Linked DNA regions of Mus musculus. The protein of the gene in region 3 interacts with the protein of the main gene of each other region in a biochemical or structural test. Links are inferred from orthologs where the notes say so. Each region holds a gene or a part of one and is shown on either strand. Other genes may lie near its edges. The genes, in order: Cdk2, Mid1, Ppp2ca, Chek2, Akt1, Rbl2 and Mapk1.

Evidence for each region.
Region 1: of the proteins of Ppp2ca (region 3) and Cdk2, one has a biochemical effect on the other in vitro, tested with the Homo sapiens proteins (2 studies listed by BioGRID). The link is inferred for Mus musculus from reciprocal best matches to the Homo sapiens genes PPP2CA and CDK2.
Region 2: of the proteins of Ppp2ca (region 3) and Mid1, one has a biochemical effect on the other in vitro, tested with the Homo sapiens proteins (2 studies listed by BioGRID). The link is inferred for Mus musculus from reciprocal best matches to the Homo sapiens genes PPP2CA and MID1.
Region 4: of the proteins of Ppp2ca (region 3) and Chek2, one has a biochemical effect on the other in vitro, tested with the Homo sapiens proteins (2 studies listed by BioGRID). The link is inferred for Mus musculus from reciprocal best matches to the Homo sapiens genes PPP2CA and CHEK2.
Region 5: of the proteins of Ppp2ca (region 3) and Akt1, one has a biochemical effect on the other in vitro, tested with the Homo sapiens proteins (6 studies listed by BioGRID and IntAct, with this or other methods). The link is inferred for Mus musculus from reciprocal best matches to the Homo sapiens genes PPP2CA and AKT1.
Region 6: the proteins of Ppp2ca (region 3) and Rbl2 form a complex in vitro, tested with the Homo sapiens proteins (2 studies listed by BioGRID and IntAct, with this or other methods). The link is inferred for Mus musculus from reciprocal best matches to the Homo sapiens genes PPP2CA and RBL2.
Region 7: of the proteins of Ppp2ca (region 3) and Mapk1, one has a biochemical effect on the other in vitro, tested with the Homo sapiens proteins (2 studies listed by BioGRID and IntAct). The link is inferred for Mus musculus from reciprocal best matches to the Homo sapiens genes PPP2CA and MAPK1.

What each region holds. Positions count from the first base shown.
Region 1 is NC_000076.6:128,699,557-128,702,492, reverse strand, and holds part of Cdk2 (cyclin-dependent kinase 2), read left to right. Parts: coding exon 1-80; intron 81-1,048; coding exon 1,049-1,150; intron 1,151-2,373; coding exon 2,374-2,517; intron 2,518-2,817; coding exon 2,818-2,936. UniProt on the Homo sapiens protein: Serine/threonine-protein kinase involved in the control of the cell cycle; essential for meiosis, but dispensable for mitosis. Phosphorylates CABLES1, CTNNB1, CDK2AP2, ERCC6, NBN, USP37, p53/TP53, NPM1, CDK7, RB1, BRCA2, MYC, NPAT, EZH2.
Region 2 is NC_000086.7:169,924,130-169,928,259, forward strand, and holds part of Mid1 (E3 ubiquitin-protein ligase Midline-1), read left to right. Parts: intron 1-2,824; 5' UTR 2,825-2,880; coding exon 2,881-3,540; intron 3,541-4,130. UniProt on the Homo sapiens protein: Has E3 ubiquitin ligase activity towards IGBP1, promoting its monoubiquitination, which results in deprotection of the catalytic subunit of protein phosphatase PP2A, and its subsequent degradation by polyubiquitination.
Region 3 is NC_000077.6:52,115,577-52,119,706, forward strand, and holds part of Ppp2ca (serine/threonine-protein phosphatase 2A catalytic subunit alpha isoform), read left to right. Parts: intron 1-909; exon of another isoform or gene 910-1,186; intron 1,187-1,421; exon of another isoform or gene 1,422-1,432; intron 1,433-2,410; coding exon 2,411-2,584; intron 2,585-3,092; coding exon 3,093-3,182; intron 3,183-3,566; coding exon 3,567-3,728; intron 3,729-4,130. UniProt on the Homo sapiens protein: Catalytic subunit of protein phosphatase 2A (PP2A), a serine/threonine phosphatase involved in the regulation of a wide variety of enzymes, signal transduction pathways, and cellular events.
Region 4 is NC_000071.6:110,846,027-110,850,156, reverse strand, and holds part of Chek2 (serine/threonine-protein kinase Chk2), read right to left. Parts: intron 1,769-4,130; coding exon 1,644-1,768; intron 1,528-1,643; coding exon 1,380-1,527; intron 562-1,379; coding exon 471-561; intron 1-470. UniProt on the Homo sapiens protein: Serine/threonine-protein kinase which is required for checkpoint-mediated cell cycle arrest, activation of DNA repair and apoptosis in response to the presence of DNA double-strand breaks.
Region 5 is NC_000078.6:112,671,112-112,675,977, forward strand, and holds the start of Akt1 (RAC-alpha serine/threonine-protein kinase), read right to left. Parts: upstream 3,166-4,866; 5' UTR 2,889-3,165; intron 2,829-2,888; exon of another isoform or gene 2,595-2,828; intron 544-2,594; 5' UTR 451-543; coding exon 405-450; intron 1-404. UniProt on the Homo sapiens protein: AKT1 is one of 3 closely related serine/threonine-protein kinases (AKT1, AKT2 and AKT3) called the AKT kinase, and which regulate many processes including metabolism, proliferation, cell survival, growth and angiogenesis.
Region 6 is NC_000074.6:91,083,418-91,087,547, reverse strand, and holds part of Rbl2 (retinoblastoma-like protein 2), read right to left. Parts: coding exon 4,121-4,130; intron 2,116-4,120; coding exon 1,955-2,115; intron 1,874-1,954; coding exon 1,809-1,873; intron 566-1,808; coding exon 379-565; intron 1-378. UniProt on the Homo sapiens protein: Key regulator of entry into cell division. Directly involved in heterochromatin formation by maintaining overall chromatin structure and, in particular, that of constitutive heterochromatin by stabilizing histone methylation.
Region 7 is NC_000082.6:17,017,549-17,021,678, reverse strand, and holds part of Mapk1 (mitogen-activated protein kinase 1), read right to left. Parts: intron 3,394-4,130; coding exon 3,204-3,393; intron 1-3,203. UniProt on the Homo sapiens protein: Serine/threonine kinase which acts as an essential component of the MAP kinase signal transduction pathway. MAPK1/ERK2 and MAPK3/ERK1 are the 2 MAPKs which play an important role in the MAPK/ERK cascade.

The DNA.
Region 1 (2,936 bases), on a different chromosome or scaffold from region 3:
ATGCAGAGGGGTCCATCAAGCTGGCAGACTTTGGACTAGCAAGAGCCTTTGGAGTCCCTGTCCGAACTTACACTCATGAGGTAAGTCCCTTTATGGTTTTCTTTTACAGTCTTGGGAGATGTTCATAACAGCATTCAGAAATTACCAGAGTTCTGGGGCAGGAGTTCCTTGGTAAATGGAATCTCTGACAACCCAAGGGTCTTTATTTACGTGTATAAGTGTTTTGCTTGCATGTATATCTGTACCACACACCTACCTGGTGCTCACAGAAGTCAAAAGAAAGTGTCTGATACTCTAATACCCTGGAACTGTAGTTACAGATTGTAGTAAGCTGTCATATGGGTGCTGGGAATTGAACCTGGGTTCCCTGCAAGAACAAGTGCTCTTAACTGCTGAGCCGTGGCTCTAACTTTTACCCAAAGGGTCTTAAGATATGCACTGAATTCATACAAGGTTGCCTGGACAGATACTAGGCCAGGAAAACTGGTTGCTGTATTGTCTAAATATCTCAGATTTTCCAGGAAGGTCCCAAATCTGGGGATTTAGTATTACACTACTGGATAGACAGATGGCTTAATAGTTAGGAGCATATAATCTTGCAGATGACCTGAGTTAAGTTTCCAGAGCCCGTGTCTGGCAGTTTGCAGTCACCCCTAACTCCAGCTCCAAGGCATCAGACACTTTCTTCTGGCTTCTGAGGGCACTGCACAGTTGTGGACACCTACATAGACGTGCATATATGCACGTTATTGGAATAAAAAAATAATAAATCCCCCCCCCCCCTTTTTTTTTTTTTAAGCTTTTCGAGACAGGATTTCTCTGCGTAGCCCTGGCTGTCCTGGAACTCACCCTGTAGACCAGGCTGACCTTGAACTCAGAAATCCGCTTGCCTGCGTCTGCCTCCCAAGTGCTGGGATGAAAGGCGTGTGCCACCACTGCCTGGCAATAAAACCCTTTTTAAAAAGAAGCTGAAGGTAGCAGGGTTTTGTTGAACTGAGGTATGTGACCCTGCCTGCCTTGTAAGCCCTGTTGTCTTCTTGTTCCCCAGGTGGTGACCCTGTGGTACCGAGCACCTGAAATTCTTCTGGGCTGCAAGTACTACTCCACAGCCGTGGATATCTGGAGCCTGGGCTGCATCTTTGCTGAAATGGTATGGAGGCTTGCCAGGTTCTATGCTGCCCACCCATGCCCACATCCAAGAGCAAAACCTTTCTGGAAAAGGGTTTTCCGGGAATCATGGACCTTTTATCACAGGGTTCTCTCAAGTATCACCACTATGGAGGTGGTTGCCCCGATACCAACTACAATTTTGGAATATTCGTAAACACAAGTTATCTAATATATATATATATATCTTATCCCCTGAGTGAGCTCAATCCATTCTGTTACCTATTCCGCCATTTTGTTTTTTGTTCTGTTTTTGAGATACTCTCATTCTGTAGCCCAGACTGGCTTTGTATTCTTGATCCTTTGCTTCGGCTCCACTTTCCACCATTACCATCTCGCCCATGGGACTGACTTGACAGGCATGAGCCACCCTGCTGGCTCCACTCATTCAGCTGTTTCAGCCTTAATCCTCAAATATTTGGAAGAATGAATTCCATTTAGTACAACAGGTGGCCTACAGACCACGTGCTTCCAATGATAGCTGTGAACGTGGTCTCAACACAAAGTCATAAACTTATTTAAAACAGAGTGGGTTTTGTTTTGTGAGTGATAGGGTTTTGTTTTGTTTTGTTGCTTTTGATTGGTTTGGGTTGGTTTGCTTGTTTGGTTTGTTTGTTTTTGTTTTTACAAGACAAGGTTTCTCTGTGTAGCCCTGGCTGTCCTGGAACTTATTTCGTAGACCAGGCTGGCCTCAAACTGAAAGATCTACCTGCCTCTGCCTTCCAAGGGCTGAGTTAAATTAGGTGTGCGCCCAGCTTTGGTTTTTTAACATTTGATTTAATAGTATTTGAGCTTGAACATTGTGGATGAGAATGTCATGTCACAGTGTCAAGGGTTGGGCAGGTCTGTTTTGTTCCCTTTTGTCCTATAGACCTCTTATTCGAAACAAGGAATTTAGTAAAGGCAAGTGGTCTAACTGACCCATGCCTATTGGTTTTGTAGACTTGGTCATGCCCTGCCCCTCAACCTCTGGCTTTTCAGACTGAAGGATCCCTTAAGCCTAGCCTCATATGGGAGCTCCCATTCCATTTAATACAACAATGGGTAGACAGATGAGAAATATTTTTATGGTCCTTTGGGTTGAAACTGGGGACTTGGAGACCATTAGCCTAGATATAGGTATACATATAGAATGTGAATTTATCCACCAGTACCTTACAATTGCCCATATTCCTCTCTCAATTCATCAAAAAAATATTTGTTAAGCACCTAGTGTGTACCCAGCACCATGCTAAGTGCTGTGGGGAACACAGAAGAAATGGAAGACACAGTCTCTGCCCGCTGTGCTCCTATCTAGAAGTGGCTGCATCACAAGGAGGGGGGATGACCGCAGTGTCTGCCCCACACCCCGTGAGTGGCTTGGGATCCCTTTGCTATGCGTCAGGGGCACCCCAGACAGTCACCCCCTCCCAGCCCCACCCAGCCTCGGGAATCTATGAAGCCACGGTTGGGGGAAGGAAGGAGGGGCGAGGAGACAGATAAGGGACTTCATTGTCTCAAGCTCTGTATGACCGACCCCATGATAAGCCCTGGGGAGGGGAGTCATGGGCCCTGCTGCCCTTTCACTGCCTATGGGAACCTCCTTTGTACAAGGGGCAATGTGGACTGACGTCAGTGTGGGTCTTGGCTTTCCTCTTTCCCCATTTCCAGGTGACCCGCAGGGCCCTATTCCCTGGAGATTCTGAGATTGACCAACTCTTCCGGATCTTTCGGACTCTGGGGACCCCAGATGAGGTGGTTTGGCCAGGAGTTACTTCTATGCCTGATTA
Region 2 (4,130 bases), on a different chromosome or scaffold from region 3:
TATTGCTACAGATGATAGAATTTCCTTTTTCTGACCAAGTAGTATTCCATTGTGTACATACATTCCATTTGTTTATCTGTTCATCAGATGGACACTTAGGTTGTTTCCACTACATGACTACTGGGAATGATGTTCCGGCAAACATGGGAGTGCAAATGTCTCTTTAACATGCTTATTTTACTTCTGAATTACATGACAATGCTGTATTAAGTTTTAATAAATGAAAAATCAATTTTATTTATATGTGATTCATGTGTATCAGTGTGTATATGCATGTATGTAAGCACACTATTGGGTGCATGCTTGTGGAACCATGAATTTACTTTGGGACTCTCCCTTGATTGCTCTCCACCTTATTCATTAAGGCAGGGGATGAACCCAGAGTTCTGGCTAACTAGCTTTCTCTGTCTCCTTCTCCATGTACTAGGATTACAGAGACTTTCATGCCCATCTAGCAGTTATGTGCATTCTGAGAGTCCATGCTCCAGTGTTCCTACTATATGTTACACATTACATGGCAGGTGATTTAACCATTGAATGTCTATCTACCCATTATCACTTTCAGTTTTTTGCTTTTTACTTTTAAAGTTTCTCAACACTGCTTTTTGTTGTTGGTGGTGGTGGTGGTGGTTTGTTTTTTGTATTGGCTTATAATATGGTAGCATCAAAATAAGTGCCAATACTGTATATGTGAAAGTAAAAATTAAATAATAAGAAGTAGGTTGTGCATGATGGTGTGTTCCTGTGATAGTGCTTCTCTCCTATGATCCCAACACTCAGGAGACAGAGGCGATAGTATTGTTTGCAGCCAGCCTGTAATATATAGCAAGACCCTGTCTCAAGAACATATTTAAATGAGTAAATAGCATAATTAATGATAATCATCACATAATAAAGCATAGGAAAAGGCCTACATTTTTCCTTTCTATTTTTATGCTTCTGATAGAAAAGGAAAATAAATTTGACAAGGAGATAATTTTCTACCCACAATTAATAAAAGTCTTGCTTAATAAACCAAACCTTTCAGTTTCTTCAGAGCCATCCATAGGTGCAATGGACTGGGTCCTAGGGAGGATGGTCAAGTATTTTTTATGTAAGAGTAGCCTTTGGCTTTACATTGCAGATTGTGAAATGATGAGTAAGCACTGGGTTTTTCAAATTGCAGCCACTCCTTTATTTAGCAGTAAATATGAGTGACTAGTTGCAGGTCATCTCTGAGCTAGTAATTTCCTCTTCTACTCTTTAACAGGCCCAGGACATACTTTATATTCTTTAGTTATCTTATTTCGGTTGCTAATGTGCTGATGGTGTTTCAGCAAATGATGCACCCTTCATATTTCAGATGGATGTTGTTTCATAAAAGGTCACCTGATTCTAGAAACCCTGCATTTTGTATGGAAGCGGAGGTGTGAATACAATTGACTGATTGTCAGAATTAATATACACAGCTTTGGAAGTGAAGCCTTCCCACAAACCCAACTGAGAACTTTCTACCCTTACAAGTGATTTGAACCTCCTGACCTGGTAAACTGCACTATTCTCCCACAGCTTGCAATGGGCTGCAGCTAATACGCCAGGCAGCACTCTACAGCTCTACTAATGGCCTGGAAAGGGAGAAGGTTCAAAAAGGCTTAGTTCCCAGGCCTGCTAATGAGCAGGAGGCCTCTTCACCCTAATGAGCTGTGCTTGTGTGGGATTCTTTGTCGTCTCTCTTTGCAGGGAACGCAGGCAGGCGTTCACAAAAGCAACGAGGTATTTATGGGAAAGGGAACATTCAGCTGGGCCACCCGAAGGTGGCCTGGAGGGGATCAACAGACCTGGCAGAGGTCACGACTGGGCCAGCAGGGTTGTGAGTGTGAGACAAGACCTCCTGCCAGCCAGGCCTGTTGCTAGACAGAGCGCGGCCTGAGATAGGATATTTTGGGCAAAATGGGACTGCACTAGGATCCTCAGGAACCTTTACATAGTCTTTCAAACATGCTTTCTAAACTGAAACTATTACTGTTAGGACTTATCAACTGTATGTGATAATATTTGTCATCAGTCTTCACAAAGGCTCTCAGGTAGTTTTATGTATTTCTGTCTCTCACACCTCATTTCTGGATTAATCAATACATGAGCAATGAGCATATGCCAAAAATACTGCCTTCACCATGAGCAGCTTTGTGAAAAATCTGTTTCTATTTCCTCAAGAATATCTTGAGAAATGATGTTCTGAATTTGAACATGATTGTTTCTACTGAAATGCACGCATTTAACTTCATATATAATTAATGTTCATCTCCATAACAAGTACGTGTGTACAGTTGGGAATCCTGTCCTGCTATTGCCTACTGATAGTCTGTAAAATGTATATACATTAATATTTAAGTTCACAAATTGAAAGTTGTGAGTGACTATATTTCATTATCAAGTTTCTGCATTTTAATTTTAACCAAAAGAAAACTTTGTTTGTGATGTAAGATTACTCTGACCGTACACCAATTAGAGAAATTCCGGTTTCAGTCACTTATCAGATTGCAGTTAGACCTTTTAAAAGCTAAAGCTGCAAAAACTATAAACAAACAACAATAAACATTAAAAAGGAAAGCTGCCACTTTCAACAATTAGAAATTTGAGAAAATGATAGGCTTGTGTTTTTTGTTTGTTGGTTTTTGTTTTTTAATCATTTGCTCCCAGTAAAGACAGACATTTGGAACGTACATATAATTTCCCTTCTATAACCTATGTTTGGAATTATGAAGAGATGCATTCGAAGCTGACAGTTCCCCCCGCCCCCCGGCTGACCCCTCATGCTTAATTCAATCTTGCGCTCTGTTTCCAGATAGCTGATCAGCTTCCTTGGACTTTGCTGATGACCCCGGAGAGTTTTGCCTGAAGATGGAAACACTGGAGTCGGAGCTGACCTGTCCTATTTGTCTGGAGCTTTTTGAGGACCCTCTCCTGCTTCCCTGCGCACATAGCCTCTGCTTCAACTGTGCCCACCGAATCCTGGTCTCTCACTGTGCCACCAACGAGCCTGTGGAGTCCATCAACGCCTTCCAGTGCCCCACCTGCCGGCATGTCATCACGCTCAGCCAGCGAGGTCTAGACGGGCTCAAGCGCAACGTCACCCTCCAAAACATCATTGACAGATTTCAGAAAGCATCTGTGAGCGGGCCCAACTCTCCCAGTGAGACCCGCAGGGAACGGGCCTTTGACGCCAACACCATGTCCTCTGCCGAGAAGGTTCTCTGCCAGTTCTGTGACCAGGATCCTGCCCAGGATGCTGTGAAGACTTGCGTTACTTGTGAAGTGTCCTACTGTGATGAGTGCCTGAAAGCCACTCATCCGAACAAGAAGCCCTTTACAGGCCATCGTCTGATTGAGCCAATCCCGGACTCGCACATCCGGGGGCTGATGTGCCTGGAGCACGAGGATGAGAAGGTGAATATGTACTGTGTGACCGATGACCAGTTAATCTGTGCCTTGTGTAAACTGGTTGGGCGGCACCGCGATCATCAGGTGGCAGCTTTGAGTGAGCGCTATGACAAATTGAAGGTTAGTCCGATCCGCCTTAAGCCAACCCCTTTCTGCCAGCAAATGTCATGGAAATAAGAAGTGTATTCACTGCTAGCTACATGGCAGGTGAAGGATTTCTCTTCACCTTTGTTGTCTGATTAGTTGTAGCATGTTTTTGGCAGCCTATAGATGTTACACAATGAGGGTATCTTGTAAAAGTTGACTGCTGCTTGTAATTTTAGTGTTGTCAAGGTGAGGGCAAATTCTAAAAATCTGGATCATTTTCAACTCTTGCTGTTTTCTGGATCATTTTCAATGTCTGCAGTTGTTGCAAAGAGAGGAGAGAGGGAAAGCATGGGGGAGGGAACAGTGAGTGAACAAGAAAGAGGAATATAAAAATCGATCTTTTGAGCTTTTACAGGCATTTATTTTCTTCACTCATGCAGGAAAAAGTAATTTACTCACGTTGTACCTTTATGTAGTTACTACACAAACAAAAGACTAGAAAGGAGAATGTGTGTAGCAAATGTCTGTGTCCAACGTGGAATTTTAGAGTACATGTGACCCCCTTGTGTAAATGATATTCGGCTTATTGGTGAACTAGCATGTTCTGACAGTCTCGGGTTTCA
Region 3 (4,130 bases):
GCTTGTTAATTTTGTGTAACACTGTGTGGGTACAAACATACCACTAAATATGTCTTGTAGTTAGTTATCTCCTTCCACCATATGGGTCCTAGAAATCAAACTGGCAGCTAACAGATAAAATGTAGCCATATTGTGTCTTATGACTTGGGCTATCTTGGGCCAGTGAGATGACATAGTGAGTAAAAGACAGTTACCACTAAACCCGATGACCCGAATTTGAGCACTGGAACCCACATGGATGAAATGAGAGGACACATACGTGCACTCACAATAAATGAAATGTAATTTTAAAATCAGACTTGGTGACAGGCACCTTTACTGTCAGTCATCTCATAAGATAGGTCTTATTTTTATTGTTGTTGTGTGGTGGTTCTGGGGAGTGTTGTTTGCGTTGTACAGTCTCTAAGCCAAGGCTACCCTCAAGTCCTCAAGTTGGTTGCAGTCTTTGGGGGAGGGGGCTTGAGACAGGATCAGGCTGTAAGAAACCTCAAACCCTGATCCTTCTGCTTCTCCCAAATACTAGGATTATAGACATGGACCAGCATGCCTAACCTTAGATAATCTAATTTTATTTGTTTGTTTATTTCTTGACATTAGTTCACATTTAATTATTACAGCCACTGACTGTAGTGGACTATTAACACACCTTCATTTACATTCTTTTTGGTTTTTCGAGACAGGGTTTCTCTGTGTAGCCCTGGCTGTCCTGGAACTCATTCTGTAGACCAGGCTGGCCTCGAACTCAGAAAACCACCTGCCTCTGCCTCCCGAGTGCTGGGACTAAAGGCTTGTGCCACCACGCCCGGCTTCATTTACATTCTTGATTAGAGTGATTATCACCTTTTTGGGTGTTCTGTGACAGTGGCTTGGAGCCTGTGCAAAGCACATGGAGGTCTGAAAATCTTTCAGTTACAAGTTGGCTAAAGCAAGCGTCCTTTCTAGTTCCTTTAGCTGCATATTGCCTTGGGTAATCATCATTGTATCCTCTTCTATGGCACTTTTGTTTCTTTTAAATTCTTTCCTGGCCCAGTCCTAAAGGTATTTTTAGTCAGAATCACTTGGAACTTGCCTAATCGCTCGCAAAATCTTTCTGTAGAGGAGGAGAACTTGCTGCCTTCTCATGAACTGCTTCAGCGTCAGGGCCGCAGGAGGCAAGCGGGAAGCCGCCCTGTTGCCTACCGATAATCTGATTTTAAATGGGCAAAGTACTGAAGGGCTACTTCATACTAGAGGGTACATGATGGCTACTTCATACTAGAGGATACATGATTAGTAAGGACATGGCTAGTTAACATCATTAGTTATTAGAAAAATCTTACGTTAAAGTCCCAAGTGCCAACTTCACGTCGGTTACTAAGACAGTGGCTGCAGTCCATACCAAGTGTCCTGTCAGGAATGTGAAACGAGCTTTAAGCTCTCACCTTACTCTCATCTCTAGCCCTCCTTCTCTCTCTTCCTTCTCCCCTCTCTCCACGTGGCCATGGCCGGCCGGCCTCTTTCTTTCTACCTTCTCTCTTTCTCTCTGCCTTTCTACAATAAAGCTCTAAAACCATTAAAAAAAAAAGGAATGTGAAATGAGTTTGCCACTTTAAAGAATTGGTGAAGTTACATATAAATCGATCATGTAGCCCAATAGCTACACTCTAGGAATATGTTCAAGAGAAAAGAAAGCATGTGAGCAGATGAGCTCAGTAACTAAGAAACAGGAAAACTGGAGCAGATACAGGAACCATGGGTTGTGGCCTGCCCTCCCCCGATGCTAGTGTGCAGCTGTGAAAGGAGCACACCCTCATCTGTGCTGTAGCATGGTGACTCAGGATAGCTCGCGCTCCGTGGGATATGCAGCACAAGAAACACTAAAATTTCTAGAAAAGTCATTCTCAAGACAGAAATAAATGAGTGGTTGTCCGGCTGGAAGAGTGGGGCCATTGCAGATCGGGAAGGAATCTTGGCAAGACTCTAAAACTGAGTTATGGTAATTGTTGCATAACTAAATTTAGTAAAGGTCAGAAAAAAGTATGATTTTTATTTCACACAAGATGGTGCAGGGGGTTTGGTCTTAATTGAGATATTGGTAAGCATTTTATAAACCTTTAATTAAAAATGCTTATAATCATCAGGCTGTGGTAGCCCATGCCTTTAATCTCAGAGCTCAAGAGGCAGAGGCAGGTGGATCTCCTTGAGCTGAAGAACAGCCAGGGCTACACAGAGAAACCCACCCTTGAGAAACAGCAACAGCAGTTTTAAAAAGTTTATCATCTAATTTCAGTTCATTGAAGTTTAGAGATGTGCACTCTCAGCCCCTCCTCCTCTCAGTTGGAACTCTGGATTTACCTATAGAAAGTTGTATGAAGTGTCTTGCTTTTTGTTTTTTTTGGAAAGAGCTGGCATCTGTTGTCGTTTTCTTTAGGTTCGTTACCGAGAGCGCATCACCATACTCCGAGGGAATCACGAGAGCAGACAGATCACACAGGTTTATGGGTTCTACGACGAGTGTTTAAGGAAATACGGAAATGCAAATGTTTGGAAATACTTCACAGACCTTTTTGACTATCTTCCTCTCACTGCCTTGGTGGATGGGCAGGTGTGTGTACCATAAAACTCACTTCTGGGTTTCTTCCTGTTTCCAATAATTGTTTTCTTGGTGTTTAGCAGGCAGTGATTTTCCATTTGGGGATACATTACTAAATACTGATAAGTTCTTTTCTAGGTGCTGAACTGTCAGGATAAGATCATGGGGTGGAAAATGTAACCTATTCAGCTTTGGGGGCTCTTTGTAGAGGGGTCTGGGAGATGGAAGGCATTGTTTACCAGTGTGAGGGGGACTGTCAGGCTCTGGAGGGACTGTGGGTAAGCTAGAAAAACACTCTTTAGAAGGAACCTCAGGGATGGTGGTTGGTCAGGAACAGGAATAGATACTGTACTCTGTAGTTGGTATTAGGTCGAACAATAGCCAGTTATTCAGGGTCCATCCTCATCGAAACAGAGCCTAGAACTGATGTAGCTAAATGGTGTCAGCTCCTGTCTAATGTGTAGTCCAAAGAGTTCAGTTTCTCTTAGGTGTAATTAGCACTTGTAATCAATCTTTTTAGATCTTCTGTCTACACGGTGGTCTGTCACCATCCATAGACACACTGGATCACATCCGAGCACTCGATCGCCTACAGGAAGTTCCTCATGAGGTATGGCTGACAAATTCTCAGACACTCCTTAGGAAAAACAAAAATCGTTTAGCTGTAGCATAATTTATCATATGTTCACTCGGGTTTCAAAATGAAATGACATGAGCTCCTTACCATTGCTCATTAGACGTTTAGAAGCCTTCCTGGTCGTCACCACTAGCCCATCTGTCTAATAATAAAACTCAGATACACGGGCAGATGGGGCAAGTTACTGAGTGCAGTGTGCCTTGTGGGAATTGATTTTCATTTCAGAGATACCTTTACTGCAAAAGTTCAGCACACATACTAAGAATGTGATTTTTGTAGAGTGTTGCTTCTGGTGAATTATCAAATGAAGAATTCCACATTTGGAAGTCAGTTTAATAACTTATACCTGCTTTTTAGGGTCCAATGTGTGACTTGCTGTGGTCAGATCCAGATGACCGTGGTGGCTGGGGGATATCTCCTCGGGGAGCTGGTTATACCTTTGGCCAAGATATTTCTGAGACATTTAATCATGCCAATGGCCTCACGTTGGTGTCCAGAGCTCACCAGCTGGTGATGGAGGTATGTTCTTTTCTTGAAACCTGTCAAATTAACTGTAGTAACTGAAGGAAAGGAGTTTGACACTGATGCTGTCAGCAAGATGTCCTTTATTCCTAGAGTCTGCCATGGGAGCTAAACCCTCTTCAGTAGATGGACAGTCAGAGGAAAGTCAGATCCATGGCTGATAGTGGGCATCCACTTAATGACTCGGAGGGACTTGGGATTAATGATGAAAGGATGAAGATGCAGAGCGAATGAGGAAGGGTATAATATATCGCAGTGGTTTATTTCACATTATCTAGTTTGTTTCTTTATAGGAAAAGAAAGAAACATCAAAATGTTGATGCCCTTTAGATAACTGGCTTGTAGATGATTTGAAAGAAGCCTTTCCTCTGGTAGGGGTCTTACCTTAAAACATTGACT
Region 4 (4,130 bases), on a different chromosome or scaffold from region 3:
GGCTCGCAATCTAGAAAGGGAAGCTGAGTCAGAAAGCTCCAGGTTCAGTGAGCTACAAAAGACAAAGTGCAGAGCCACTGAAGAAGGCACCGATACTGACCTCGGGACTCTGCACACAAGCATCCTCACACAGGCAAGCATAGAGACCACACATGCATGCACACCGCATGCGCACACACACATCATACACACACACACACACACACACACACACACACACACACACACACACATGAATAGTTATCAGAGAAACCAAGCCTGGTGGCAGCGCTTATCCCAACACTAAAATTTATAAGGGAAAAACGTTTATTTAAACTGATCATTATCAAATAAATCAGTAGTACATGTATCACAAAAGTTTGACAGCTATATAATAATAATGTTATAAAATCAGTTATAAAAAACTAACCCATGAGAATACACAGAAAAAAATGAGTTTTAGTTTATTATATAAAGAAAATAAACTTTACCTTCCAAGAGTTTTTGACATGATGTATTCGTCTCTTAATTCCTTAGGATAAACTGACTGATCATCTACAGTCAGATCAAAAAATACAAAAACTAAGGGGAAAGGACAGAAATGGGCTTGTTAAATCACGATTAAAAGACTGGTTCTCAAGTTTAACTACACACATAATATAATAAGGTACAGAATTACATTTGTCATGTAATACAAAGTGAATTATTTTTAATCCAGGGGCCAACCAGATAGTTCGGTAGGCAAAAATCACTTGCTATGTACGCCTAATGACTCGACTTTGGTCCTCAGAACCCACAGTGGAGGGAGAAAATGAACTCACAACAGTTGTTCTCTGACCCCTATATGCATACTGGAACATGTAAGCCTACACATGCATAGTGTAACATGTAACATGTAAGCCTACACATGCATAGTGTAACATGTAAGCTTACATGCATACTGTAACATGTAAGCCTACACATGCTCACATAAATCAATCTCTCTCTCTCTCACACACACACACACACAATAAATGTAAATAATTAAGGTGGAGATGAGAGTAAGACACCTTACATCCCCTGCTGGCCTCCACACCTACACAAATGCACAAATACATAAACCACACACACACTCAAAGTAAGTTCTCAGCACTCAGAAGACAGAGGCAGGCAGGGTTCAAAGCCACCCTGGTCTACATAGGGAATGCTAGGACAGCCATATAGTAAGACCTCGTCTAAAAACAAAAATAAAAACAAACAAAAACCCCACAACTCAGGCAATGGTGTAACTCTTGGATGCTACTGAACACTGACTTACTTAATTTGACTGAAAAGCATTATTAAAGCATAACTGACAGAGACACAAAAATTTCCCTTTACAGAGGAAGTTAAGAAAAGCTCATTAACCGTAATAACATTACCTTTATTTCTACATAGTGAAAGTGCGATTTCAGAGTTGTTACTCAGAGGACAGCGTTTGCCTTTCCCAATAAGCTCGGTATTTACGAAGGTTCCATTTCCACTGTGATCCTCTATGTATACGATGTAACAATTTTTAGGGCCCATTTCCTAAAACAGAGAATATTTTATGTCCAAATTTTGACACCAAGAATTAATAGCAAAAGACGCCCCAGAGCAACGACTAGATCACCGGGTCTCCGAGGAGAGAAGCAACCGTTACCTACCCTGAAAATACGAAAATGCTTCTTGCTGTAAGTCCGGTACTTGTCCGTCCTTCTCAACAGTGGTCCATCGAAGCAATATTCACAGCTTTTATCTCTCCCAAACCAGTAGTTGTCGTTAACACAGTCTGTTGATACAAAAACACACAGAAAAGAATGTATCAAAGTGTTAACTAGAAGAAGGAACCAAGTCTGTGGAGTGGTGCACATGTGAGTCCAGCAGGACAAGCTTAAGAGACTTGCCTACAAGAAAGACACTGTCAAAACAGCAGTAAGAAGACAATCAAGGGCTGGAGAGATGGCTCAGCAGTTAAGAGCACTGACTGCTCTTCCAGAAGTCCTGAGTTCAATTCCCAGCAACCACATGGTGACTCACAGGCATCTGTAATGAGCTCTGATGCCCTCTTCTGGTGTGTCTGAAGACAGCTACAGTGTACTCATATACATAAAATAAATCTTTAAAGAAATAAATAGGGGCTGGAGAGATGGCTCAACAGTTAAGAGCACTGACTGCTCTTCCAGAAGTCCCGAGTTCAAATCCCGGCAACCACATGGTGGCTCACAACCATCCATAATGAGATCTGATGCCCTCTTCTGGGGTGTCTGAAGACAGCTACAGTGTACCTACATATAATAATAAATAAATAAATCTTAAAAAATAAAAGGTAGAGACTCAAGTTAATTAAAAAAAGAAAGAAAGAAAGAAATGTGACTTTTAAAAGAAAAAGACAATCAAAAGTATAGATTCAATATCAAAGTTTTGTATTAAAGACTGAGGGACGCCGGGCAGCAGTGGCACACACCTTTAATCCCAATACTTGGGAGGCAGAGGCAGGTGGATTTCTGAGTTCCAGGCCAGCCTGGTCTACAGAGTGAGTTCCAGGACAGCCAGGGCTACACAGAGAAACCCTGTCTCGAAAAAAAAAAACAAAAAGAGAAACAAAAACAAACAGTGCACACTGCAAGTTTAGCAAATTCAAGGCCTTGGGGCTCAAGGCGGGGAGGAGGGGAGGGAAACAAAGACACAACAATGGCTTACCTTTGTTTTGTTTTAGGTTGTTTTGGTAGGTGATTATTTGACCCTGGTATTTGAGGCAGGCAGGAGCTCAAACCCTCCAGGCTGGCTTCTAATTCTCTATGTAGCCAAAAATGGCGGGAAACTTCTTTTTTCAAATTATTTTAATTAGCTATTTTCTTCATTTACATTTCAAATGCCATCCCAAAAGTCCCCTATACGGCCCCCCTTCTCCCCTACCCGCCCACTCCCCTACCCACTCACTCCTACTTCTTGGCCTTGGCGTTCGCAAGACCAAGGGGCCTCTCTTCCCAACGATGGTCGGCTAGGCCATCTTCTGCTACATATGCAGCTAGAGACACGAGCTCTAGGGGTACTGGTTAGTTCATATTGTTGTTCTACCTATAGGGTTGCAGACCCCTTCAGCTCTTGGGTGCTTTCTCTAGCTCCTCCATTGGGGGCCCTGTGTGATGGTAAACTTCTAATCCTTCTGCCTCAAGTTTCCTGATGCTGAGTTTGCAATCATGTGCCGACCATTCCCAATTTATAGGGGTGCTAGGAATAAAACCCAGAACTTTGTGCACACTAGGCAAATGCTTTCTACCAACTGAGCTACATTCCAGCTCTATTTACTTGTTCTTTGAGAGAGTCTCGTGTAACCCAGCTGGACTCGAACTTGCTGGCCACAAATTCCAGATATTCCCGCCTCAGCCTCCCAAGTGCCAAGATTGCAGGCATGTGCCACTACACCAGGCTGGGTACAATTATGGGTTAAATAATTGATGGTTTATACATAACCATGAAATGATAAGCAGCCGTTAAGACTTCTTGAATAAACCAGGCTGCAGTGGCACACCCCTTTAATCCCAGCGCTCAGGAAGCAGAATCGGGCAGCCAGCCTGGTCTACAGAGTGAAGTGAATTCCAAGACAGTCAGGGCTACACAGAAAAAAAACCAAAGAACTTCTCAAAACACTTCTCAAATCGTTTGATTTTGAAAAATATTTAGTTAGCTGCGTATTACCTTCCTGAGGTTTCCTATTACACTCGGTATAAAATCTACAATCTTCCTCATGTCCGACCAGGTACTCAGGTCTAGGCACTTGCCTCCACAATGCCTCTCCCCCTTGTTAACTACCCCCAGCTCCACTGGTTTCAACTTCACAGCCCAAACAAGTGAGGCACAGCATATTTCTATTGTGTAGCAGCAGTTTCCTCAAAGCTTAAAACCTTCTGTCTTGGAGGAAAGCACTTTAAGATACGAAGAGAAAAGGGGGGTGAAGGAAGGATATTTGGGGGGGAGGTTGTGTGAAATAATAAGTTGTTCTAAAGGGGAGATGCAATGACTCCATCCTGCAGGCAGGGTCCTTAAGACAAAAACTAAAGAACTAAAGATAGCTTTTGACCACTAAGTCCTCCCTCCCCAGGAGTAAGTACATAAGCAGTGAAGACTGCTGCAAGTAATTCAGACAACAG
Region 5 (4,866 bases), on a different chromosome or scaffold from region 3:
CAGTGCCCAGGCTACTCGTCTGCCAGCCCTGGAACAGCAGCCACGTCCTTGCTGCCTTCCAGGAAAGCCAGGCGTGAGGCTGCTGCAGCTGGCCCCACCCCCAAGCCACTCATGGCAGGCCCCGCACAGGGCCTCAGCCTCTGGCCAAGAGGCCCCAGGAGGAGGCCGTGACCTCCATACTATGGGAAAAGCTGGGCCTGCATACTCCTGAAGCAGGCCTAGAGCCCCATGATGGGGAGGTGCCCCTTCTGTCTGCTAGGCCTAGACACAGCAAGCACTTTCTGATAGGGCCTGCTGGGTCAGTAAAGACCCCACCACCACCACCACCACCCCCGCCCCGGTTCCACATTGAAGAGCTAGGCAGACCCAGGCCGGCCTGCTTCTCCTGTGGAGTGCGGACTTACCTCGTTTGTGCAGCCAGCCCTCCTTCACAATGGCTACGTCGTTCATGGTATCCGTGGCCCCCAGAGACAGGGGTAACCCAGGGATGATGCTCAGAGTCTCTTCTCGGTAGGCTGAGCCCAGCCGGCCTGGCCGCAGCGTCTAGAAGAAGCCGAGAAAGCACGTGAGACAAGGTCCCACTTGGGACTAGCTTCCGTGAGCCCCAGAGGGCCCACAATTACCCATGTCCCCTCATGTGATCTACCCATCTCTGGTTCCCAGGTTCCCTCCTCACCCTTACTCCCTGCCAGCCTGCCTGACGTGTCTCCAAAGGTTGCTATAGAAGACCTCCCTCCAGTAGTAGATGCTACACACCCAGATCTAGGCCTGGTAGTCCGGGGTGCAAGGCTGTGGCCAACCCCCATCATCCTGGTCTCTGCTAGAAACATTCATTTCCAGAAGGCTTTTCCTGTTAGGCAGCTTGTTCAATTTGCTACCCCAGCAGATTAGGCCACCTCCTCCAGGCAGCCCTGACTGCTTCTGCTCTGCCTCGCACTAGTGAGGGGTGCTTACCACTGTCTCACCACCCCCTACAGTCTGGGAGGCCTACTGCAGGTCGCAGGGTCCCTACGGCTCACGTTAGGAACGCGGGAAGGCCAACACTGGAGAGCACAAGTAGAACAGGCACGGTATGAAGCTGAGCCCAAAGTCCTTCAGGACAACACTAAAAACTCCTCAGGCAGAACCCCAGACCCCTTGGGAACACAGCACCCTGCCTGTGAAGCTGTCCCCTTCACTTGGTGAGTACACACTAGGCACATATGGTTCTGTCGAGCCTTCACCCTACGCCTGAGACAGAGAGACTCTGAGACAGCCTGCTGGGAACACCCAAAGCAGTGGTTACGACCCACAATTACAGTATCCGGGAGCCCACAAACAGGGCAGGTAACACACAAGGGTCCTGCAGCGGCCAACTAGCTAGCCTGTGCAAAGCAAAGGGTGCCAGCTCACCTCGCAAAGATCCCCCCGCCCCCCAATTGCTTCTCTTCCAGAGGGACACCTAGGTATCCTTCAAATATCCCCAAGTCTGGACATTCTGGGAAAGTGCACCTGAACAGCCCTTGACCAGCAAGCCTGTGTTGTCCCTCCACCTGGAGTTCATGTGGACAATCCCCAGGAAAAGACTGGAAGGCCGCCGTGGAATAGATCCCAACTAGGGTCTACTACAGCTGACTGGCAACCCCCTATGTCATCTCTCTAGCCCAGAAGACACAAGCTGGCACCCAGAGTCTCTGTCACTTTGCCTTGTATGAAGCTAAATGTGGAACAAAAGGGAGGCCGGCTGCTATGTGTCAAATGCCAAATGCCAAAGTAGGAAAGACCACACCTGGCCCAAGAAGGAAAGAGCCCTTCCCTCAGCAAGCAGGTGGCGACTAAAAGCCAGAACGAAAAAGATAAGCCAAGAAGAAATCCCAGCTCAGTGACTGTCAGAGTGGGTGTGGCCTGGAGGCAGAGGGCTGTACTGCAAGATCTCTCTCGGTGGATGTCCCCTACCCCCACCCAGCCCCAAGGTCTGCTGATGACAGTCAGCTGTCCAGAGCCGTGTAAAAATAAATTCATACACACGGAGTGAAGAAACACAGCCATGTTAACGCCAATGTCCACATCAAGCCGACTTAAGCATGGGACACTCTTCCCACCATGCCATGCCGTAAGGGCATATGGTTGCTATTGTTAAGTCTTAAGAGTTCAGCCCCTCTGGGACACTGGCCCGTGAGCCACACGCCCAGCTGGGGCCCCACCAAGGCGACTCGCCCTTCACTTTAGTGATGGCTCTAGGCAGTCAAGGCTAGCCACCTGGAGCAAGACCAGGGGCCTGGGGGAAGGAGGAGTTTGGCCACACAGCAGAGGCCCAAGGTTCCACCACCGCCCAACTTAGAAACCAGTCCTCTTTAGACAATTCCATCAGCTCAGCCAGTATCCCGGATCCGGGAGACCGAGTCCACGCCGTCCTCAAGGCCCCCCCCCCCCCCGGCACCTCCAGAAACCACCTAGTCCAGGAAGCAGCTTCCGGGCCCAGGAGGGTTAGCAGTCCTTTGTGGGCTAGCCTGGGCACTGTGCCACCGCGCACAACTTTCTGTCCGTGGGAAATGAGTTCTCCTTCCCAGGGCCCTCCCACCGCACGCAGGCCGCGGGGCGAGCCTTTCTCCTACCCTCGCTGGCCGAGTGCCCGGGCAGCCCCAGGCCCCAGGGCGCACCGGCCCCCACTGCGCACACCAACAGCGCCCCTCTCCCGCGACCTGGCCCCGTGGAGCGGCCACCCAAGGTCACGCAGCGGCCGCCCGCACCCTCGCCGGCGTGGGCCTCCTGCGCGACCAGCCCGGCCCCGCGCGCTCCCCGCCCAGGCCTCCGCTCGGCCACTTCCTGCTCCTACTCCGAGGCGCGGCGCGGCCGGGAACAAAGCGGGGTGGCCGCGGCCCGGAACAGGGCGCGGCGCGGGCACTCACCGGGCCGCCGCGTGCGGGCGACTGGGCCTAGCCGGGCCGCGGCCTCGGGCGCCCGCCGCTCCGCATCCCGCGGGCGGGCGCTGGGCGGGGCCGGCTGAAGGCAGCGGCGTCCGGGCGCGCGCTGCTGGCCGGATCTGGGCCGCCGCGGTGCCGGCCACAGGACGCTGCTCGGTCCGCTCCGCTGGTCCCGGACTCGCGTGCGCTGCCGCGCTGGGCCGGCCGCCCGCCGACTCGGTGCTGCCGCCGCCGCCGCCGGCCCGCCTTCTCCCCGCCCCGCGCCCGCGCCGCCCGCCCACATCCGCCTCCGCCGCCCCGGGCGCCCCCGGCGCGGCCCGCGGCCAGGGCGAGGCACCCCGTGAGCGCGAGCGCGGCCCCGCAGGCGCCGCCCTCGGGTGGCCCCGAGCCAGGGCCACGCGGGTAACGGAGCCCCGCCGCAGATCCAGAGCTCCAGCTCTGGTCTGGGTTTCCCGGTTTGTGGGACCTGGCCCTTCCCTGCCTAGCTCTCCAGACCCCAAGGAGGGAGGCCAGCGTGGGAAGTGAATCAGTTTGACTCTCAAGAGGCCCAACTGTCCCCATCTTGGGAGCCGGGAGAGACCGGTCACCGGTGTCCTAAAGGCCAGCCAACACAAGAAAGAAGGCTATTGAGGGCTCATCCAACCCAGTACTGCCTGCCACAGCAACTGATAAGGACTCCCCAGGTGACAGGGAGGACGGGAGCACACCTGGACACCCAGAGGGGGCAGATTCAGGGGTAGGACTCAGTCAGCCAAGACCTTGCTGTGGACTCAGATGGGTGAGGCTTGGGGGGCGGTTCCTTATGGTGTCCCGGAATTGAAGAGTCAAGGTGGTTCCTGCCTCTTATCCATCCTCAGTCCTTCCCCCTTCGGCCAGCCTCAGCAGTTCCTGCGCAGGGCCCCTCCCTCGTCCCAGAAGCCCGACTTGATAGTAACCCTTTTGTGAATTTACCTTCATGTGTTTGGTATTTTTAACCAGGGGGCATTTTTTGTTTTTCATACAAGGGTCAGAGTTCACCAGGAGTGTAAACAAGAGGGTAGATTTAGTAGTCCACGCTATCGCCCAGGATGGAAATCGGAGCTCCTTCTCGGGCTCCTGGGGCTGACCTGGGAAGCACACCCCACTCCCGGAGAAGAACTCACTCTCCTCTCAGCCACGCCCCATACCCTTCAGACGGGGATGGGGATGGGGGGCTCTGTTCTGTGCCCTATCTGCTGCACAGCTGCCCCAGCTCAGAGAGCCTCCAGGGCGCTAAGTCAGAGGCTCAGCAGCAGTTCTGTTCTGCTCCAGCAGTATCCCTGACCCTGAGAGTGGCCTTCAGAGGCTGAGAGTCACACAAATATCCATCACTCGCCCAGCAAACCTTCACCCCAGGCCCCCAACTCCTCCTCTCCTACTTCCCCCATCCCGTTGCTACACAGTTAGAGCCAGCAGGGCGCCCTCTTGTGGAACACAGCAATTTCTGGCTGTTCTCTAGTGACCCTTCTCACTCGGATGCTCTTCCTGGAAGCCACTGTTGGAGACAGCTCCTACCTGTGGTGAGCCCTGTTTCTATGCAGTAACCAGTCCCGCCTCCCTTCTTTGTGTCTCTATCTTCCCCCGAGTCCGGAGTGGGTTGGGGGATAGGCGACTCCTTCTGGGTCCACACTTTGGCAACACCTCTTTGGGCCTCCTAGACAGAGCCACAAGGTGAGTAAGGTCCGCCTTACTGAGACTTGCCACTGGCCTGCTCTGCAGCCATGCTCTCCAACAAAAACTGGTCCCGGGGGCTGGCGAGATGGCTCAGCGGGTAAGATGACTGCTCTTCCGAAGGTCCTGAGTTCAAATCCCAGCAACCACGTGGTGGCTCACAACCACCCGTAATGAGATCTGACGCCCCCTTCTGGTGCGTCTGAAGACAGCTACAGTACTTATGTATAATAATAAATAAATCTTCAAAAAAAAAAAAACCAAAAACCAAAAA
Region 6 (4,130 bases), on a different chromosome or scaffold from region 3:
TTCTTAAAGATTGACTGTAGATCCACAGGCTCCAATTAGGATAAATTAATATTTTCCAAGTGTCTCTGTGACCACTGTGCAGGGTATACACTACAGCCTGTTTTTTCAAAAGCAACGACTGCCAGCAGGACGCATCTGTTTCGATTAACAGTCAATTTTCTTCTCAGAGCTAACTAAAACCTTTGAAAGTTGGATCTACTTGACTTTTCTTCTAAACATTTAAAACACACACACACACACACACACACACACACACACAGGATTATGAGGAGACAACAGAAGCCAGTTTCCTCTTGCCGCAGCCGCATCTCCCTCGGGGCTTTGAAACGTGGTCAGTGCATCACAAGAGGCTCCTGTTTCCCTCTGGGCTTAACTCACCTTGTCAAGATGCTGCTGCAAGATGTCTCTCATCTGCGTCCGTTCAGCACTCTCTGTACCTGAGGCAGCACTTAGACACCGAGACAGAGTCCCAACTTCCTCCTCAGCATCCTCACCAAGGAATACGCGCTCATCCAGATTCCCAGCGGCTAACACGTATTCTTCATATGCCTTATTAACGGCCTTACTATGGGGAAACAGGACCGCCATTTCAGCTCATGTTCCACACCAGGGTTTTACTCACTACAGCATCTCGCAAATTTCTCAAGGTCATTTATTTCTGTAGAATAATTGCTCATTTCAAAAACCCAAGAGAAGTTGCAACTCGCTTTGATCTAAGTGTCCAGTACACACTGAATATACTTTTTTAACAGTGTGTCAAGGTAGGAACTCTGAACAAACCTGCCTTCAATAAGCTAATAATAATAATAAATAATGATAAACTAAATTATACTAAATTACGCTAAACTAAAGTTGTGATGCTGGGTGACATACAACTGGCATATGACCATGCAGGAACATTTCCTCAGCTGTTCTTGGCACCTCTAAAGACCTGGTATTGCCACACTGTCACCTCTAAAGATCCAAATACCAGTCCTTTTTTCCTTAACTTCATTTTTTTTTTTGAGACAAAGTAGCCCCCAACTTACAATCACCTTGCCTCAGGTCCTAAGTGCTGAGATGTCAGCCCCATGCTCTGATGGCCAGGCACAAAAGCATTTCTTTCTTCTCTTTTTTTATATTAAAAAATATTTATTTATTTACTTTATGTATATGAGTACACTGTTGCTGTCTTCAGAGACCCCAGAAGAGGGCATCAGATCCCATTACAGATGGTTGTGAGCCACCATGTGGTTGCTGGGAATTGAACTCAGGACCCCTGGAAGAGCAGTCAGTGCTCTTAACCACTGAGCCATCCCTCTAGCCCACAAAAGCATTTCTTAATTTCAAAATTTAGAGTCTAAAATCTTGAGTAATAAAACTTTGAACAGAACAAAAACAAGTTTCACTGAGAATAAAGACATATGGCATATGGTTATAGTAGAAGTTTCCAGAACTGTGATGGCTTCTATGAGTTCTACCATAAAGCATTAAAACCATCCAACGTACAAACAGTACAAACACTGAGCGCGAGGTCTCCTCACAGCTAAGTTAAAGTATCAGAGCAAGCCGGGCATGGGGAGGCAGAGGCAGGGGGAATCTCTGAGTTGGAGGCCAGCCTGGTCTACAGAACAAATTCCAGAATAGCCAAGGCTACAAATAGAAACCCTGCCTCAAAACAAAAACAAAAACCAAAAAACAAAACAAAACCAAAAAACCAAAAAACCAAAAACCAAAACCAAAACCAAACAAACAAAAACAAAAAAAAAACCCCAGAAAGCAAGCAAGCAACCAAACCATCCTAGCAGGTGTGCAGCGTAAGTACTCACAAACTCTCTCCAAAGTTTCCGGGCTCCAGGAAGCCAGTAAGATTTTCTTCCTTCCCCTTGAGAAGCTACGATGAAAAGAAAGGTTCTTGGGTTACGTGCGACCGAGTCTTTACCCAGAAAACGTCCGTATGTCATTACTTACGAACCTTTTTCTCAAACAGTTTCCTAATATAGGGTTTCCAGAAGTGTTCCTTTATCCCCTTGGCCTCCAACACTAGACCGTCGTGTAAGGAGCACAGCTTCTCAATGACACACGGCGGGTCGGAGGACGCTTTAGAGTCCTTGGGGTGACAGTCCTCGGACAGGCCTGTGGTGTATAAAATCACAAGATGGAGACAATGGTCAGCACCAACTCGCCAACATACAGTACACGGAAACAGAAATGTTAGTCTGCTCAGCACATGGTGGGCATGTGTAACTAATTTACATATGCCTCAAAAGATGAAGAGAGATGAAGTCAGAGATGGATATGCAACATCCCCAGGACAAACAGAAAGGGACACGCTTCCTCAACCTGTAACCCATGCTCAGGAGGACCGACTGAGCTGTAACATCCTGCCTCACATAGAGAAAGAACTATATAAATTATCAATTGAATTAGTAATGTGACTAAAGGCTGTTGGAAAAATAAAAGCTTGGGGGAATATCTGAAAAACATCAGAACTCTGTTCTGCAAATGAGCCTTACGTTCAAATTAAAAAACAAAACAAAACAAAAAAAACAACACTTAAAAAATTATACAGTTCTGCCAGGTGAGGTGGCTCACACCATTAATCCTAGCACTCAGGAACAGGGGAAGGTGGATCTCTGTGAGTTCAAGGCCAGCCTTGTCTACACATTGAGTTCCAGGACAGCCAGAGCTACAGAAACCCTGTCTCAAACAAACAAACAAACAAACAAACAAGCAAACAGACAGACAGACATTACCCATTTCTGAATGCTGAGATGGCTCATCAGGTGAAGACACCTGCTTCCAAGCCCGACAACCTGTTTACTCTCTAAGAGTCAATTTATAGTGTTCTCTTTCATAAGAACATAAAACAATCAAAGAAAATTAAAGGAGGTAAAAACAGAACAAATAACAATATCAGACAGAAGCAGCAGAGGCAGCACAGGACCAGGGCACCCTGTGTCCAGTCCCCAGAACAAAAGGTGAGAGAATAAAGTGAAGACAATGGGGCGCACAGCAAGGGGCAAAGGTCAGGTGCTCCTAGTTGAAAATGCTTGGACCAAGATTTAGAGTTTAGTCTTTGGAATCTTGGACCATTTGCACCATCTTAATTAGATGAACATGCATAGCCAAAAACTCTTCGGTGACATCTACAACTTTCTTTTTCTGCTTTGATTTTCTGCTGTCTTGTTTGTTCTCGTTAGTACTGAGAATCAAACTCAGGGCCAGCCAAGAAGTCTGTCACAAACTCCATCTCAAGCCTACGTCTCACACCTCTCGAGTCACAGGGAACTGGGAGTAACTAGCTCCACTAATTTTAAAACCAACCCGGATGGGCACGTTGAAGTTCTAACTGAAACCATGCCCAAGCTGACGGCCAGAATTCTTCCACGGTGTTTTTCATGCAGAATCAGCAATATAGACTAGTCTATACATCCTCAGTATTTATGTATATGGCTTATAGAAATTACATAGTCTAAAGCACATTACACGTACCACCAAGATGAGTATGACTCTCATACCAGTCACCCAGAGAGCTAGGTTCTTGTTTCAACATTTTATTTTTCTGTAGCAAAAGAAGTGAGATGCCGTTCTTTTAGCCAACTCTTTGCTGCTACTTGGGGTGCGTTAAGCACCAAATGTGCCAACAGCAAGAAATACTACCATGGCTTTTGCTATATATTTTTCAAAAACCGCCAAAGTTATCATTTAAAACTAAATTCGGTTATATTTGCTTTTCGTTTTTAGAGGTGGGGGTAGGGTGGGCACTGGAGAGATGACTCACTAGTTAAGAGCACAGCTTACTCTTTCAGAGGACCTAGGCTCAATTCCCAGCACCCATGGCTCACGGCCATCTATAAGCCCGGTTACACAGGATTTAACACTCTCCTTCTGGCCTGTGGGAACAGCAGGCACACATGTGGTACACAAACATACATGCAGACAAAACACCCATACACATAAAATAAAGTGAAACATTAAAAAATGTCTGGAGATGCTGACTTCAGTATAAGCACTCATACGACTCAGGTGGCAGAATTTCTCCAATACTCATGTCCTCTGAGGCTAGCAAGCCTGCATCTGGGGATACAGTTTCCACGAGTAAAAACCATGCAGAAACACGGGCTTTCAATAAACTTACCTTTAAAATT
Region 7 (4,130 bases), on a different chromosome or scaffold from region 3:
TGTAGAGCTTCATATTAGAGGTAGCACCTTTGTTCTCAAAGAGCCACATTTGCTTCAATTACAGCATCCAAGAAGCTGCATATTTACTTTGCAAAAGAAATGTTACTGTGTTATTTAAAAAAGTAGCCAGCCAGCCCATCTTCTTCTTTCGTAACTCTCTTGCAGGTCACTTCCCAGGTGGGTTCTCATGTAGGAGAGAACAATGAGGAAATCCTGTTTTTCTCCATACCCAATCGCCTACTCTAGCTATTCTACTTAGTATATAGAACCTTCACTGTGAACCTGAGCCTCTTCTTTAAAAGATAGCTTGTGTGACAATGAGGTGAAAACTCTGATGGTCACTGTCCCCTTGGGCTAAGGATGGAGAATAACCATAGCTTCCCCTAGTCTAGCACTGGGGATTGACTGAGGCCTCACACTATGAAAGCACTCTACTAGTGAGTTACATTTCTAGCCCAGCTATCAGACTTAGCTATCACTAGTGAGGAAGAGTACTATTAAGTTCTAAGTTCTGATTTACCTCAAGGTTTTCACTGTACATGCTATTCGACTTATTTCTATAACAGCCTTTTCTACCAGTGGCTGGAGTAGAACATGCCTTTTCTGCTACCCTCAGGAGGCAGAGGCAAAAGTCTGTGAGTTTGAGGCCAGCCTGATCTATACAGTGAGTTCCAGGACAGCTAGGGATACACAGAGAAACCCTGTCTCAAAAAAACAAAAACACAAACAAACAAACAGACAAACAGACTCGAATGAGAAAAAGCAATGATTTCCCCCCACATCTGAGGGCGAGCACTCTTAGCCACTACCACTTTTTATGGTAGATGATAGCCAACCCATTCCAATTCTACATGATTTATTATTCAACTTCTCAACTCATGTAACTCATAGTGCTTCTCTTTTGTAGCGATAACTCTTCATTCTATGATTTGCCTTTAACCAAAGCCAGTCTAGTCACCTTTTTTCCTCCCCGCCCCTCCCCCCCCTCTCTCCAGGGTATCTCTGCGTAACCCTGGCTACCTTGGAACTCCCTCTGTAGACCAGGCTGGCCTCAAAGTCAGGAATCTGCCTGCCTCTGCCTTTCCAGTGCTGGGATTCAAGGTGTGCACCACAGAACAAAAGAAAAAACCCTCCACAATAAAAAAACAACAAAACCCAAACAAGCCCATCATGCTTACAGATAAAGCCCCAGAGATACTCAGAATAACTCCATGAAAGAAGCCAGACCACTAGTGCAGTCCAAGCAGCCTCAGATGTCCTATAAGGGTCAGCATTCTCATCTGACCTCCCCTTGAACTATGGAAAAGGAAATGTTCCTAAAACTGTGTGTTGCATTTTGTATCCTTGTTTACAGGTGTACTACGATCATATAGGCTTCCTGATAACTCTGTGGACTCTGTTTAGCAAACAATGAGCACACATACTTGTACTGACCACAACCCCCATTTTTCTGGTCCATCAGAAATATGCCAACAGAAGCTGCAAACGGAGTTTAAAAACCCCTTGTATGTTTTTGTGAACCTGAGAAATTAAGGGTCACCATGTAGTACCACAATGTGATACATATATGACTCCAGAGCTTGAGTAGGTGACTCTCTTCCACACTAGTATTTGCTCAAATGTCACACAGTACCTGCCAGCATACCCTATTCTGAGTGTATATCTTACTGCTGTGGTACATAAGAATCTCAGTGAAACACTACACTCATCTCTGGAATGTAATGCTCTCCATGCCAATGATATACTCCAGATATCAACCGTAAAAATGGGAAATGAAACCAGCTATTGTGAAGCATGCCAATAATAAAAACCTGAAGAGAATGAGGTAGGAGAATGGAGAGTTTGGGATCAGCTTCAACCTTGCTGGGTGTTGTACACATCTACTGTACATCTCTATTATTAACTAACTCTTGGGAAGTGGATGCATGAATTTGCGGCCAGCTTGAGTTATAGTAAGACCTTGTTTCAAAATAACAAAAAGCACGCTTTAGCTAGACCAACAGAAGGCTGCCCATACCTTACTTAAAGCCAATCTCTAACTTATAAGCGATTGCTTAGTACCCACTATTGCCCTCAAACAGAAAAGAATGTAGTACTTTGCTTGGCCCTCCTTTCGACTGTTATTTCTCTGGTCTTCTAGCCTATGACACTACAATGCCCAAAAGGCCCTCTCTTATGAAACCCCATTTATTCTTGGAGGGCTGGCATGGACACCATTTTATTTCTTCCCTTTGCATTTGAATACTACCTCCTATGTGCCGCAGCACATGCTATCAATTATACGCTGTCTGCTGGGTTCCCATCTCTCCGTTTTCCGATTTCAGAGCAGCCATTGCCCTGGCACCTAACAAAGCTTCACCCAGGAATGTATATTTAACTGAGAGCTCAAATGATTATTTTTACACACCTACATATAAAGTTTCTTTACTGATATATAATTCATATAAAGCACACAATGCTTTAACATTAATATTTAATATTACAGTCACAGTTTCATATTCTGAAACTTTAGAACAATATAAAAAGTTGCCAAATTAGTACCATCTCCCCTAACACTATCAATTATAAACAACTCATTGTACAGATCTTCATTTTATCCATAATTAGTTAGATATCTGACTTCCATTTTCCTGTGACAATGAATTACACTATAACGAGTACTTGTGTACACGTGTTTGTATGAATACACATTTTCATTTTACTAAGGTACATACTTGGAAAAAGACTTTGTCAATGTTACTTTTCCTTTTTCTTGAGACAGAGTTTCATTATGGAGTCCTCGCTGGCCTGGAACTTACTATGCACATCAGGTTGCTCTTAAACTCCCAAAGATCTGCTTGCCCCTGCCTCCCAGGGCTGGGATTTGAGGCATATGCCACCATACCTGACACTGATTATAACCAATCTGGTGTCACTGTCACTGTGAGCCTTGTTTTGTTTTCTTGATACAGAGAATTAAGAAACAAAAATAACACATATGATGATGTACACATAAAGTATAGACATATAAGAACTACTAATTTTGCTACAGTGGCTACTGTCTCTGAAGGAAGGATGGGCTAAAAAAGGAATGAGACTCATACTGTGTATCTGTATTTTTCTATAAAATGTTTGTCTATCTGATAGTTTTGAATATAAATAACAATACTTCAAAGTTGTCTTTAAAAGTACACACCATCCTGAGAGTAAATGACTTGGCTGACCTTGAGATCACAAGTGGTGTTCAGCAGGAGGTTGGAAGGCTTGAGGTCACGGTGCAGAACGTTAGCTGAATGGATATACTTTAGCCCTCTCAGGATCTGATAAAGAAAATAGCAGATGTGGTCATTGCTGAGGTGCTGTGTCTTCAAGAGCTTGTAAAGGTCCGTCTCCATGAGGTCCTGTACTATATATCTGTGTGACAGGAGGTTAAGGTCAAACACTGCCAGCTGCTCACACTTAGCAAAGCACTGAAACAGATTCAACTGCTCTTAACCCTCTCCCCATACAGCGTCAGACACAGCTGGGCCATCAAAAGAAAGAAGAGACTGAAGAGAACACGGCACACTCTCGTGGAAGAAAACAAACACTAGTCCTGCCACAGGTGGCTTGTTGTGGGCCTACACTGAGACTTGAAACAGAATATCGGTCAATCTATTTTAAAAAAAAATCTTTTTTTTTTTTTTTGAGACAGGGTTTCTCTGTGTAGCCTTGGCTGTCCTAGGACTCACTTTGTAGACCAGGCTGGCTTCGAACTCAGAAATCCGCCTGCCTCTGCCTCCCAAGTGGAATACTGGTCAATCTTGAAGTCTCAACTTCTCTGTTCTCCAAACTGTCCACTATTAACCAATTTCCTCCAAAGCTTAAAGGGCATGGTAGCCAACAAACAACACCCATCTCTTTGGCCCAGAAGCAATGTGTAATTGTATTGCACTGTTTTCTTTGCTTCTTGTCACCAATATCCTCACAGACCAACCCAGAAGTACTGGCCTAGAAATAGCATCGCCACTGAGTCCAATCTCTGCCTTTCTTCCTCATTCTCTAAATTCTGCATATGTATTGTAAGACCATAAGGTGTGTAAAGAAGTTGATGATAATAGGTTCTGCTCTTTAACCTCCACTGCCTAAGCACCTAAAACTTCAGCTAAGCC